2 linked regions of the Schizosaccharomyces pombe genome follow. The protein of the gene in region 1 interacts with the protein of each later gene in a pairwise test. Each region holds a gene or a part of one and is shown on either strand. Other genes may lie near its edges.

Region 1 (3,640 bases):
TCATATGATAAACTTGACTTCTCATCAGAAGTTTCCCAATCTTGATGACAATCCTTAATGATAAAAGTATATTTATAAGAATCGCTCTTAGCAATATCGAGCTCAATTCCTTTAAACTCTTTCAGGTTCCACGTCCTATCCTTGATATTAGTAGCCTGACTACAGAATCCAGCGCCTCCCAAGGTCTTAGTATCAAGAGTGCCCCAAAACTTGGCGCGAGATTTCCCATCACTATCCTTCTCCTCAGTGAGATGACTTATCGAAGAGCCTCCACGAACCCTATCATCTACAGCACGAAAATCCTGCTCATGCCAATTTTCTGGCTGACCAAAAAGAACAAGCATTTCTTTTTAATGGAGTAATGTTCAACAGCGGTGGATATATGAGTATTTTGTATTCAATAACAAAGGCAAAGGAAAGATATGAAGCCTACTTATTGAATATATCTGCCAAAAATTGAATGATATAGGAAGGCGGTCCATGATGCATAATTACTTCATATGCTACTGATGAAAATTTAACGAGAAAAAGAATTTTGTGCCATAAAATTACTACAACCGTAATGCAGGGAGTTTTGTTAAATATGCAAGGAAATCAGTTTAAATGATATAATACAAAGAATAAACATGTAAAATTAGAAGCAGAGAAAGAAAAAATATTTAAACCGTTTAGGATTTCAAAGCATCTAGCTTATCACGAATGTCCAACAATTGTTCTTCATCAATTTCAGTAGAGTCTTTAGCAATCCCATTGGATAAAGATGGAAGTGCTTGTTTGAGTGATTGTTCACGATGTGTAGCAGCATCCGCTGCTTTTTCTGAAGGTGCAGGAATGACATTATATTTTGTAAGAATTTCTTGGACTTCCTCATCCTCATCAGCCAAATCCATCAATTCTTCATCGTCTTCTACTGGTAGAAACATTTCATCACGCATTTCCTCTAAGACACCTGCCTTTGTAAGTTCCATAGACAGATTTCTCATAGTTTCCGAGAGTTGGGGAAGACGAATTAAAGATGATACATCTTGCATTATCTTTGTGCTGGATTGCATAGTACCTTGTATCTTTAACATAGCCATCTGGTCATTCAGTTGTAGACTTAGGCTTCCTAATAAAGCTTTTGATTCGGCGAGTCTTTTACCATGTCGGTTTGCACGGGCAATTTCTTTAGCCAATATACGCATATTTGTAATATCAGATTGCTTTGCCAATTGTTTCAGCTGAACCTCTGCCTTTTTCCTGCCTGCTTTAAGATGGTATACCTGCCGATCTAGTTGTCGTTGTTCTTTTCGAATGATGGATTGCCATTTTCTGTTTTGTTCTTGAGGCGTCGGACCAAAGAAATAAGATCTTACAGTTTGCATTTTGATAATAAAATATGAGAAATGCTGGGTGATAGGAAAAAATGGATAAACACGTAAATTCCCCGTTTACCAATTAAAAAAAAAACAAAAACGATGGATGATTATGCAATAATACAAGGAAAGAAAGTTATGAAAAACAAAACTGACACAAATCTCTCTAAAAAAATGATACTGAAACCGAAATGATATGAAACCTTTAAAAAAAGTCTTACTTCTTCAATTGTTCAAACGAAGAATCCTCAAATCAGCGTAAACCGAATAGTCCTCAAATAGAGTACATCAAGTTGGTCTTTTCAATTTATGAATTGATTAAAAAAGCGGCTTCTAGGATTTTAAAATCCCGTTTTACAAGAAATCAATTAATTGATCAGCTTCTTGACAATTGACGTTAAACAGACTCAATTTTCTAAAATCGATCAACAAGGATAACTATTAAAACTGCAATTTAACAATTTTATTCCCTAGACGCTTCTGGCACAGTCTTGAATACTTGAGCGTATGTTCTAGAAAATACCGTACCCAGTGACTTATAGTTCACTATATAATGTAGGTGACTTCAAGAACCTGCACTAGACAAACCACTTTAGCAGTTCACAGTTGAAAAGTTTCAACATAAAATTACCATATTGAACCTATTATTTACCTATACTTTTTATCATTAAAGAATGAGTTTAAATACACAAATTCCTGAAGGTATGTTACAACAAAAATCCGTAACACCTTATACTGCGAAGAATCTGAGACGAGAATAAGCCGAATAATTCTCGTTTGAAGATAGTATTTTCTTCGGTTTCTTCACATAAAATATTTGATTAGCGGTTTTGTATATTCTGTTTTCCAATGTACATTTATTTGCGTGTTTTATTAGTGCTTGTTACTAACATTCGTTTAGTTTTATGGGCACAAAGATCCAATAAGGATGATGCTGAAAAGAACGTAATTTACCTCACCGTTTTAATTCCGGATGCTGTTGACCCAAAAATTAATTTGACACCTGAAAAACTAGTTATCGATAGCAAATCTGGAGCCAACGCTCATTACGCAGTTCAAATTGACTTTTTTAAGGACATTGATGTCGAGAAAAGCAAGTACTCTGTTACCGGCCGCTACATCTTTTTCGTCTTATACAAGAAGGAATTACAAGAAGAGTTTTGGCCTCGTCTTACTAAAGAGAAACTTCGATTACACTGGCTCAGAACGGATTTTGATCGTTGGGTTGACGAGGATGAGCAAGAAGCACAACCTGAAGTTAGTCCATTTGGCGCAGGTGGCATGCCAGATTTGAGCGCACTTGGAGGTATGGGCGGTATGGACTTCAGTCAATTTGGTAACCTTGGAGGAGCTGGAGCTGGTGAAGATGCTAGTGACAGCGAACCTGAACTCGAAGAGGAAGAGGAAGTTGGCAGTAACGAAAAGAAAGAGTAATAATGTTATCATGTAATCAGTCTTAAAATGCATCCATTTTATCTTTTACGTTTCATACAAAATTGCAATCAACCTTTTTGTGAGGTGGAGCGGAGCAAATTTGAGCTGCGTTGACAGTTTTTTATTAAAAACAGTAAACTAAAGTACCATCTTCTACCTATATGGCTGAATATATTGATTAGGAAATGTTTGTTCCCAATACAGATATGTTGCTCATGTATTAAGACCCGTACGAATTGCATACTTTAATGATTATATGTCAAATTCTATTCCTGAATGGTTTCATATTATGATTTTATATAGAATGTTTAGTTAGTCATATGAAATTTACTAGCTCACATCTGCATATAAAAAACTTTATTTTCGTAGTCATGTACTTCAGAACCGTCGAACATCATTTTAAGTTACTCAGATAGATATTAATTTAATATCAATATAAATTTTAAACAGAGTCATTTAATTGAGGTAATTTACCAAATGTAAAATAAACAAAAAAATAATTACGCCGGGGTGTGTTTTTTTTCGGCAACATATGCTTTTCTGTTTACCATCACCACAGCATAATATCTCTCATTAACTCCTTCAATTACCCGAGGCAATTAGACATTTATTTTTTAACTCTTGACCACAAAGTAATTAAATACTGAATTTGATGAATAATTCCTAAACGATTGATTGTTAGTTGTTTGCATTGTTAATTTTATTAATTACGATTGCCCTAATCGTTGCAAAATCCTCTATTTATTTTTCCCTCCCATTGGACATTTTTGGACTTATGTTTATTGACCTTGGACTTTTTATTGCTTAACATTTTAGGTCGTTTGAGGTTTTTATCCCATTAGAATTTTTTT
Region 2 (4,887 bases), on another chromosome or scaffold:
GTTAGCTATTTTAATTTAAAAATTATATGTCTGCGTACCGCTTATAGCATAATGTTGATATCGCGAAGAAAATTAAATTTTTAAGAGTAAAGTCAGACTTAGTTTGCAGAATTTCCTCTTTGTATGAATTCATTTGTCATTTATACTTAGAAGTAAAGGGTATTTGATAAGTTGATATCTATATATGGTAATTTTGTGAACGCGTCGAACGCGTCTTAAGTGTACGTATATTACAGTCCCACCTGTGGTTTTCCAACACTTTAAACTACACTAAAATGGCTTACATAGATAAATGGAATGCGAAAAGCATGTTTTACGATGAAGACATTTGGTAGCTTATGAAGTAATGTAAAAGCCTTTTGTTAAATTAAATGTCTTTTTACATTTACAAAGCTAAAATGTTTGTTTTTTTATTTACTATAGTTTGCTAATTATAAAAATATAGTACGCTTTTGGGTAGAATGGACGCTATTTGAAGCTAAGGATTCAAGAAATTCGCTTATCCCTTTGGTAAAAAAATTTTGGCCTCAACAAACGAATTTAACACTAAATAATTTATAAATGTAGAATAGATCATTTAAAAAAATATTATTTTGCATTCTTATTAGATATTTAAAAAAGAAAATTATGAGTAAACATTTAAAAGTCAACAAACAATTAGACAAATATTATATGATAGAGGAGTTTCCAGAATAAATAGCATGAATCTATTTCAGTTTGGAAACGTAAAATAAAATTTCGAGATCTTTTATAGATTTCTAGTATCTCAACTTATAAAAGCTCAAGAAGATTTAGTAGATCCAAACTCTAGGACCTCGATCCAAAAACGGTTATTTCTTAAAACAGCAGCCACACATACATTTTCATTATAAGCAACTTGCCAGATTATATCCAAATCAGTCAATAGGTCTCTTACTAACTTTCCGGAACGAATGTCCCATAACTGTAGCGTACTATGGCTTCCACTGACAACTTTGCTCTCGTCGTGTTGAAAAAATATGTGTCCCAAAGGACATTTTAAAATATCTCGACAACTTCCGGTGTTTAGATCCCAAACTCTCAACGATGTATCAGGAGGAGCAGAAGCGGATACCAAGATATTTTGGTTAAATGTAACTTGACTTACCAAATTCGAATGACCATGAAGGGTCTGTAGAAGTTCTCCAGACTCAAGGTTCCAAATACGAATTTTAGCATCCGTACCAGCGCTGATACATTGTTGACGAGAAGGATTAATTGTGACACTGTATACTCTCCCGACGTGTCCCCGAAGAACATGTAAACAAACGCCAGTAGATGCCTTCCATACTCTAAGAGTACCATCATAACTGGCACTGACAATCAAATCTCCAAGACAAGCAACTTCACGTACCGAGTCCGTATGACCACGTAATGTTCGGATGTAAAACGGATTGGTCGTAGCTGAAGTAAAGTCATTATTCTGATCAGGATTTTCATTTACATTAACAAATGGTGGATCGTCAAGGCATGGAAGACTCCATAAACGGATCGTACAATCCCTTGAACTTGAAATTATATACGGAGGCATTGAATTAGCATCATTTGAAGCTGGTCTGTTTTCTTTTTCCACATCATCAGTATCAGTAGTACTTTGATTGCCTTGAACTATTTTGATACAACGGATTGTTGACGTGTGTCCATAAAACACCTGTTTACATTCACCGGTTCTAAGGTCCCAGACTCTTACTGTCCTGTCTGTGGAGCCAGTAACCAAAGTATCCCCAACGTATTCAAAAGTCCAAACATCACCTTCATGCTCTTCTAAACTGCGTATCAGGACACCTGTTTTCGTGTCATATATATTAATTCTAGGACTGCAGGTGCTAACAATTATTTTGTCATCATCAAACTGAAGTTTGGTAATAAGACGAACTCCATGAATTGGGAATGAACATCGCTTAATTTTCTCCGGGGCATGGAGCCATCTTTCACGAAGATTAAAATGTCTAAAATAGACCCGCTTCATTATCGCACAGGCTGACAAAGATTGTTCTAAACACATCGTACGGATTTTACTATCAATTGAATCCCAAAAGAAACCATCTTTTAAAAAGAGACTTTTCCAAAGTTCTTCGTTGGACGATACCAACTTATACCAGTGATGCGAAACTTGCGAAACTGCACACAATGAAGGTGCATCTAAATGCGTAAGCACTAAATTTGTAATCTCAGCCGGAAATCCAGTTAAAAAGTTCTTTTGAAAGATAGGAAGCAGAATTTTGTGAATATTTTGAACAGCATGTTTTCCACATCGAGAAAGAAGATGAAAAAGTAAGTATTGACGAACACTTTCGGGTAATTTTTCGAAGGAAGAAATTAATTGTGCTAATTTCAAAACAGCATTTTTTTGAGAGCTCAAATGATTAGAAGGATGAATGCTAGGATTTTCTGAAGAAAAATCATATATGACAGGTTCATGCAAAGAATTATGTGAAGATGAAGATGAATGAGGGGGAAAAGATTGACGGGTTTTGGAATCGTTGCCGAGTAAATTAGGAGAAAAATAAGAGTAATTAACAGAATTATTTGGTGCATCAAGTGAGAATGTTGTTTCACTAGCGACTTCCTTACTGTCACAGTTGTTTGGGTAGAAAACGTTCGAGTAGTTAGTAGAAGGAAAAGTTTCATTCTTTTTATTCCCATCACTTTGAGAATTGAAGAGAAACCGCTTATTAGCATGCAAATTAGAGCTGAGACTAGAGTTACGGCGTTTAAGGCACTTTTCGCGATGCTCTGACGGCAGCTCACAACTCAAATGGGGCCGGTTAAGATCACAATGTAGATATAAAAGATTTTGCAAGTTTTCCAAATTTTCTTTATCAGATAAACATCGATTGTTAGTAAATATCATCGATTGCTGACTTCCCTTGCTATCAAATTGTAGACTAACACGACTAAGCTCCTCGGGAATTCTGGTCATTATATTATTTCCTTCCAGGAGATCTTTTTTAGTGGAACATGGAGAAAATCTCTCGACATTTGGCCGGGGAGAAGAGGAAACATCAATACTCGGTGATACCATAGTTGTCTCACCGAAAAATTCATTGGAATCTAAAACAGATAGGCTATCTTTTTTCTTCTCATTCATTTCAAGTAGTTTACAGACACTTAGTAGAAAAGTATTTGTCAAGTTCTTTTATGATGTTAGAGAACCTGGTTCAAGAATCGATACTGATGAATTTACTTAAAACAACTGCCCGTTGGGAAACATGTATATGAAATTATTTTGCAAATAGTTATCGTCTTAATGCATTAGAGCAATACTTTTTCTTGGTTTTTTTGAAGTTCAGCGAGATAGATCGTAAAGACCATAAACTCTTGGCAATGAATTTTAAATTCACTCTACGCAAGCGGAGGTGTAAGTAACACCAGAATAAGTAACAATTTTACTGTTGATTAAGAAAAGTTTTTATAGTTTATGGTAAATACGACTAAATCGCGACATAACAATAGTTCAATAAGAAAAGTTATATGACTTAGTTATGGCTCCTCAATATTATTTTTTTTTACATTATTTGCGATAGTGTTTTAATTGTATACCAGATATTAACCTCCTCAGCATTTTCAAATAAATTCTCTAAAGACAAAAACAATGAACACGTGAAGTATTCATATTATAAAATTGTCTTTTCCGTTGCGTTTTTGCAGCTAAAGAATGCAGACACAATAGTAGCTCGCGAATTTCATTACACGCCAATAAAGTTGGGAAAGAGATTACCCTCCCCTGTCATATTCTAAATGACACGGACACATATAATAATTTATTAATAAAATTTGAGCATGAGCGTAAAATGTAAAATGTCAGACTAAGATGGCGTTTCTAGTACATCATTTTCTTAGGCCGTTGAAAGAAATTTTTTGTCTCGTCAATGACATGCATCGGGTAATTTCGGCAGGCATTGGGCTATTATTCGACTTCTCTCCATTCAAAATTTGACTTAATCTCAGTATCCAAAGAAGCGTCAAATACGCTACCAAGATAAATAATTAAATTGTTATCCGTAAAAGTTCTTAGCATAGCAAACCGATAAACCGAGTGTAAACACGATATTAATTAATTAATATTATATCATATTTAATGAGCTGCAGAACATCATTTGCCGAAATGCACCGAGCCTCTTATATCTAGGATGATTTGTATGTACCAGATTACTTTCCCAAGAGATTATTAAATATATTTAATAGTATTAGGAGAAAATCAATATAACGTTGAGTCGAGCCAACGTATTTGTAAGTTAGGTATACAGGGATGTCATTAGGCTTACGTACACCGCGCAATTCAATTGCAAAAGGCCCAGGGGACCAAGAACTTCCTTATGATAAGAAAGCTAAAGCGATAAACAAAAATTAAATTACTTGGCTTGGAAATAATAATAATTTGCTTTGAAATGAATGATTGAACGCCCCGCGACCCCGGGACAGTATAAATTTTCCTGGGGTAGATCAAATTCACGCATTTAATTGGTTGAATTTATCAACTGACTTTTAAGTTCATTTTTAATTAAGTTATCAGCCAATGAATACAAAGCCGATAGCAAGGCAAGCAATGATTGGAGCGCAATAGTTGACTGTTTTGGCGCTAATTATTTCGGGTTTATGGTTAGAAATTTTCTGAAAAAATCAACGTTGAAAACTTACAGGCTTTCATGGTTAATTAGTGGCAAAACGCCACGGCTCTTAATCAAAAGATGGTGAAGTGCTTGAAAAAAGAAATGTATATAAAGCTGAGCTGATTTTTAGGGAAAAGCCGTGAGCTGAAATTAAACAATCAGAACCGCAAAAGGTAAAGACCATTATATTCTTTACCATCTTTCTTTTATTTTCTAGTATCAAGTTACTAGCATATCCTATCGTTTATAAAGTCAA

The links. The genes of interacting proteins can lie anywhere in the genome.
Region 2: the proteins of wos2 (region 1) and pop1 interact in a two-hybrid assay, tested with the Schizosaccharomyces pombe proteins (one large-scale study listed by BioGRID).

The regions. Positions count from the first base shown.
Region 1 is NC_003424.3:4,467,385-4,471,024, reverse strand, and holds wos2 (p23 chaperone protein wos2), read left to right. Parts: upstream 1-1,935; 5' UTR 1,936-2,029; coding exon 2,030-2,057; intron 2,058-2,256; coding exon 2,257-2,789; 3' UTR 2,790-3,138; downstream 3,139-3,640. Other genes in the region: SPOM_SPAC9E9.15 (protein CIA30), read right to left, coding at 1-344; ESCRT III complex subunit Vps24, read right to left, coding at 669-1,364. UniProt on the Schizosaccharomyces pombe protein: Cell cycle regulatory protein that interacts with cdc2 in the control of the M-G1 transition.
Region 2 is NC_003423.3:3,467,565-3,472,451, reverse strand, and holds pop1 (cullin 1 adaptor protein Pop1), read right to left. Parts: upstream 3,325-4,887; 5' UTR 3,110-3,324; coding exon 782-3,109; 3' UTR 567-781; downstream 1-566. Other genes in the region: synaptonemal complex-associated protein hop1, read right to left, coding at 39-133.